2 linked regions of the Bombyx mori genome follow. The protein of the gene in region 2 interacts with the protein of the main gene of each other region in a pairwise test. Links are inferred from orthologs where the notes say so. Each region holds a gene or a part of one and is shown on either strand. Other genes may lie near its edges.

The links.
Region 1: the proteins of calcium-activated potassium channel slowpoke (region 2) and cAMP-dependent protein kinase C1 interact in binary tests that used the Drosophila melanogaster proteins (3 or more experiments, as listed by UniProt). The link is inferred for Bombyx mori from reciprocal best matches to the Drosophila melanogaster genes slo and Pka-C1.

Annotation. Positions count from the first base shown.
Region 1 is NC_085129.1:12,556,024-12,558,976, forward strand, and holds cAMP-dependent protein kinase C1, read right to left. Parts: upstream 1,582-2,953; coding exon 520-1,581; downstream 1-519. UniProt on the Drosophila melanogaster protein: Serine/threonine-protein kinase involved in memory formation. Promotes long-term memory by phosphorylating meng and by regulating CrebB protein stability and activity.
Region 2 is NC_085115.1:13,429,932-13,433,450, forward strand, and holds part of calcium-activated potassium channel slowpoke, read right to left. Parts: intron 3,506-3,519; coding exon 3,393-3,505; intron 1,665-3,392; coding exon 1,509-1,664; intron 1,057-1,508; coding exon 980-1,056; intron 1-979. UniProt on the Drosophila melanogaster protein: Potassium channel activated by both membrane depolarization or increase in cytosolic Ca(2+) that mediates export of K(+). Its activation dampens the excitatory events that elevate the cytosolic Ca(2+) concentration and/or depolarize the cell membrane.

The DNA of each region.
Region 1 (2,953 bases), on a different chromosome or scaffold from region 2:
GATATTCTGTTATGAAATAAATATAAATATATACATATATTTTTCAATTAATACACTACTTACAAAGTTTAAATGTTGATTTTATAAAAACATAAAAAACAATGTAATGCTGCTCACCTCCAGCACCACACCACAAAATGACAATAACTACTGAAATAATGAACTAGGTAGTGCTTGGTGTAATGCTCAGACTAGGTGTCAGAGTAATCATGCAGGGACATCACCACAGCAAGGATAACTTTAACTCTCACTACCAACTCTATGTTAGTCAACTTGAAAGGGCACTAAGCAAATGAACGCCACCGAAATATCGGAAATCACTTCTACTATCATTGCACCTACACTCCACTTTATCTGCACAGTGTGCTAACTCGGGTTCGCTTCAGCGTCTATAAACTCCCAATGCCACTTGTTTCTAGATAAATCAGCTCTTATTCCACGAACTCTCTTTCACGGAAGATTCACTGTAACAAAACACCTACTCACGGGAGTGTCCGCTCGCAGGCACCAGCTATGTGCTCAGAACTCTGCAAATTCCTTTGCACACTTTTCAGTGGAAGAAATACGAAGAGCTTCTTCTTCATAATCATCAAAATTGCTTGTGTCACCGGGTCCTTTGCAGCGAGGTATGAATGGAGCCTCTATCTTCTTCTGGAAGACGGCAATCCAGTCGGTGGTGGCAAACCATTTATGACCTTTTATATCATTGACACCAGCCTTCAAGTTACCATAGCGTTTGGTCAAATCTACTTGAAGTAGGTTACGAAGCAGATCCTTCAGATCTGAACCAAAATGTGATGGAAATCGTACTTTGCCAGACACAATTTTTTCATAGATCTGAATGGGTTGATCAGCGAAAAAGGGCGGGTAGCCAGCCGCCATCTCATACACGAGCACTCCTAACGCCCACCAATCCACAGCTTTGTTGTATCCCTTGGATAGAATGATTTCAGGTGCAAGATACTCAGGAGTGCCGCACAAAGTCCACGTGCGGCCTTTCACACGTTTAGCGAATCCGAAATCTGTAACTTTTAAGTAACCCTGAGAATCAATTAGCAAGTTTTCAGGTTTCAGATCCCGATAAATAAGGTCCAAATAGTGAAGGTACTCAAATGCTAAGACTATTTGAGCTGCGTAGAATCGCGAATGCGGCTCCGAGAACCGACCCACCTTGCGCAAATGCGAGAACATTTCCCCTCCAGGCACATACTCCAACACCATGTACAAGTTAGAGTTGTCCTTGAAATGGAATTTAAGGCTCACCAAAAACGGAAAGTTGATGGCTTGTAAGATACGTTTCTCGTTTAGAGTGTGCTCCACCTGTTTCAATTTAACCACTTTCTGTTTATCTAATATTTTCATAGCGTAATATTCTTTAGTAGGTTTATGTTGAACTATCATGACTCGTCCAAACGAGCCAGTACCTAGGGTTTTTATCCGTTCGAAATCGTTCAGTCCGGCGGTGTTGGTAGGATTCTTCTTCCATTTCTCCTCGAAGTCCTCTTTGGCCTGGTCGAGGAATTCTTTGACGCTTTCGGCGGCGTCCACCTTTTTATTAGCGGTGGCAGCATTGTTGCCCATGGCTCACACCACAAAGCAGTCCAATGCCCTCGATTCGCCGTTATTAGAGGCCGCTTTACTGCACTAATCGATGCTTGTGGTATGATCGTATAAGAATATGGGCAGGTCAGCACAAACCAATTTTAAGCACGTACATTCTTATTTTTACTAATCACAATTACACGTCACAAAACACTTCCAATATAAAAACACATTGACACGTTTATTTCAAATGCAAAAGTTCTATCAAAGTACTTTCAATTTTGTCACAATCACCAGAAATAAAATGGCTTCCACAGCCGGACTCGATCGACAGAGCGAGATCAAGCGAACGATGTGCTCACGGGAAGCGGTCAATTCACTAATGTTGCCAAAGCAGTTCTTACTCTGCTACTAACTTTTTAAAATTTACCATTTACGAAAACTAATTTAAAATAAATTTAAACATTCACAGTAAACATTAAATATACTTATAAATAATTGTTAAAAAATAATAATGAAAAAGATGTATCAATGTACCCAAACTTTTAATAATAATCACATACCTACATTTCCCTCTAAAAATATCGTTGACGCAGAGATTAGAATTTTATGTACATAAAAATATACTTGAAAATAATTTTGTACTTCGCTGCATTGCTAGTATTACTTTTTTAGGAAAGTGTTTTTTTAAATGCATTTTCACATAGATAATAAATGTGTTTTTTGCTATTCTCACTAATTGCATCGACGTTTCTAAAGGTAACTAGATGATAACCGAGCTTTGCTCGTTTTTTTTTTTTGATAACTCCATCTTGTTGTGTCTTTAAAGCGGTTAGTTGCCCTCAATTAAGAAAAATAGTATTATTATTCGCCAATAGATGTCGGGAAGAGTTGATTATTGAAAACACGAATAAACAACATTTTCTGAAAATAAATCGTAGCTAGATCGATTTATCGCCCCCGAAATCCCCTGTATACTAAATTTTATGAAAATCGTTGGAGCCGTTTCCAAGATTCAGATTATATATATATTTATATACAAGAATTTAAAGGTATAAGATAAAAATAATTCTACTGGAGGATGGTTATCTTTCTGTTGACAATAAAAACTATCACATCCCTCGCTTATCTATCTATAGTAGGTAAGTCAAATCAAGTCAAATCAAACAAAGTACGATTTTGTCATATTTATACTTTCAATAGACGATTTTTGATGGACTTACAAATCTTTGTTTATTTGGCGTAGACATACAAACAAGCTCTTGGCCTACATGTCGCTAATTTATTATCAGACCTCATATACGCTAGAACATCAATGCCAAAATAATAAAAATATGCTTTAATAAGTACCAAAACATGTACGATTAATCTGCTGTCTTGAATTTTTTAAGAATAACTTCGAAAATATCAT
Region 2 (3,519 bases):
ACGACGCAACACCACTAAAGCAACTCAAAACGATTATACACGAAAAATAATTGGAAAACGTCAACTTGTGAGGTTATAGGTGTTGTGCAAGTTACCTATGTCGGCTCCAACCTTCCGCTGGTGCGCCGTTACTAAAAGTTTGGCCGAACAATATATCATATTAATGTCTCGATCAGTAAGTAAACAGTGTCAGTTATAGAGAGATTCTGTGTCAAAATATCCTCCAGAAAAAAAAAAGATGTGTGGTGTCGTGGGACACCCGATAGGAACGAAGTTCCTTATTATAAAAATATTAATTTTAAGTTCTATTCGAGGTATAAAGAAAATAATTATTCGGGTCTACATTCATTATTATGATTTTTTTATTGATAAAAATAAAAATAATTCATTTGATGTCAGAGAAATTAAATATTGTTATTTTAAACGAGATTTAATTATACTCAATAATCTCATAAATAGAAAACACAAAAAAAAATCAAATAAAAAAAAAATTCTAAATTTTCTATTATAATTTTTAAAATAATAATAACCGTCATCACGTAGACTATACATTAGACACTGTATAGGCATCATACTAAGACTATACATAAATAATAAAAATCTTACGTTACGGACGTTTTTTCCCGGTTAGGGTACCCCTCCGTATCGTCCCATAAGGAACTTCGTTCCAAAAACGATTTACCTACATACAGTGTTTGTACATTGTTCATTATTGAATCTATTTATTTAATTTTTGTGTTAAGTGATTATAATTTATATTAAAGGACACAGCTCGTGATAATATTAACGTAATAAATAAATATTATAAATTTACAATTTTTTCTCCAGAAAGAATGTCACAGAATTAATAATCGTTCGAATTAGTCGGGAGGCGTTCTTCATATAAAATGGCATCAATTATAGAGTATTTTTTTGCTATATTATATTATTGAAACGAGTAAGAGTTTGTTAATTCATTAAAGCATGACAGTGATCTTACAGTTTTTGCATTTGCACTTCTTGATGAGTGTTTCGTCTTTGATGTCCTCGTGGCAGGCCTTACAATAAAACCACGCTCTGGAAGCAGAAATGTTCGTAATGTACGTTCGTTTTGCGGAATGTTCTAGACAGTGATGGGCAAAGTACGGCCCGCGGAAGTATTTAATCCGGCCCGCCGAGAGACCATCCATCCTAAATACTCTAGTCAGCATTTTGGCGCGTAAAAAAAATCTAACGTTTATAATTGAAAATCTTCAAATTTTTAATGAAAGCTCCGATTCGTCAGGGGTGTTTCGAGCTTTCATTATCTCATAATTGACTTGCCATCCAACTTGCCATGCAACTTGCCAATTCTAATTATCTCGGCATTCTGTCACAGGTATTAGTTTATTTATTGAAAAAAAAAAACATTTTTCTATAATTCTGGCCCACCTCTAGAATTTCTTAAGCTTTGTGGCCCGCCATTAAAAATGTTTGCCCATCACTGCTAGAGCATAACATTAACTTCTAACCGACGAACGTTTGCTTACCTTTTGACTTCATCAGCCGACTGTGCTATGAAGAACCCTTGGGTATTGGCATGGATTTTCGCGTTGCGAGGGTTTATCGATATTTTGCTATCGGCTCCCTCTTCTCCCTTGATCTCTATTGCTAATAGAAGAAGCTTGAGTTTCGTAAAGCATAACCTGAGAAGAAACATCAGTCTAACATATAACAGTAACAAATAAATATACGAAGTAATCAGATTCAATTAACAGTTGTTAATATTCAGAGCGGTTACCATGCATTTTTAACCGACTTCAAAAAAGGAATAGGTTCTCAATTCGACTGGATGTTTTTTATGTTTGTTACCTCATAACTTTTGACTGGAAGAATCGATTTTGATGATTCTGTTTTTATTAGAAAGCTGACGTTTCCCGTGTTTTTTTTATTGCCCTTGTAGGCAGACGAGCATACGGCCCACCTGATGGTGAGTGGTTACCGTCGCCCATGAACTTCAGCAATGCCTGGGGCAGAGCCAAGCCGCTGCCTACAAATTGTAGTCCCGTGTAGTTCCATTACAATTTAGTCCAGTTCTGATAATGGTATCCATCAGAAAACCATATTATTATATGTCTTAAATTTGCATTAAGTACGTGGCGACAAATAGATGAATAACTCAATAACTCAAAATCACGCCAACCGATCTCGATGATTATTGTTTTTAGTGTACATTCATTTGTTTTGGAATATCTTTTTTTTTCTATTTGAAGTCGGTTTTTGTTAAAGCATGTCTATTTACAATTATTACAATGACATTCAATCGTAGCTATGTCTGTATGATAGATTCACATGATGAAATGAATAGGTACGTTATAAATGCGTTAGTAGTAGTATTAATAAAGTATTGGACACGCAAAGCGGTGTGGCAGGTCAAAGACAGTTGAAAAAAAAAAAAAAAAAAAAAAAAGTCAAAGACAGTTGAACTATTTACGTTATCATGCAAACGGGCACTGATGCAGTTAGTAATTTTAATATCAGTGAAGTACTTGCCAAAGAAACGTCACTGCACTGAAGTAATTCGAAAAAAAAAAAAAAAAAACGAATCGTATGAGATTACCAATTACACTATAAATCATACTGATTGTCAATAACAAATGTCAATACCATAAATCGGACAGAACGTACTGAAGCACTTGATCAATATTCACGAAAGGTTTATCTAAATGAATCCAACCAAAAGTACAGCCATCTATCATGGACCCCTCATGCAAAAAGGTATATTCAGAAACCTGGTAATAACCATTACTATCTATCTTATTCAGCCAACGAGATGCAGGTCTACAAAGTTTAGTTAACACTCAAATAGCTAAGGGTTAGCGATTCGGCACACAGTGTCTACGGTGCGAGTGCAGGCGGGGCCAGGGTAGGAGGGGCTTACTCGCTGGCCTGAGGGAACGACATTCCCGTGAAGGAGGTCGACAGAGTTTCAGTGTACATCTCGCATCCGGTACCCTGCAGGTAATCGTTCTGCCAGGCTTGAGTGTCGGGGGACTGCAATCAACCAACAGAAGACGCTAAAGCCTTTGCTTCGTTAGTCTCACGCGGGCGGCCACTGTCGTCCCTTCCACTCCACCAGACGATTAGTAAGCCAACGGGTGTTATTTATTCGCTCTATACCAGTCGAGGCATTATTCAGTGCAGTACCTCTAAAACCATTACACATAAAACATTGAGACTCGAATCACATATGAAGCGGGCAAACAAATAAAAAAAGAACACCAAATGATGAAGCGTTGCGAATCGTTTAGTGACGATTTTCCCGCATTCGTGGCGGTATGGTATGCTCAAACACTGGTACGGTATTGAATAACAAAAAAAACGTTGTGTGACTTTGTCGTACGACATGTTTGCGTCTCTGAGCGCCCACTTACTCGGCTGCTTCAATGAAAGGCATCCCGATAAACGTAGGACTAAGGGTCTCTGTGTACATCTCCATCCCGGTACCTCGCATGTAGTCATTAGTCCATATAGCCATGTCTTGGGACTGTGAAAATGTCG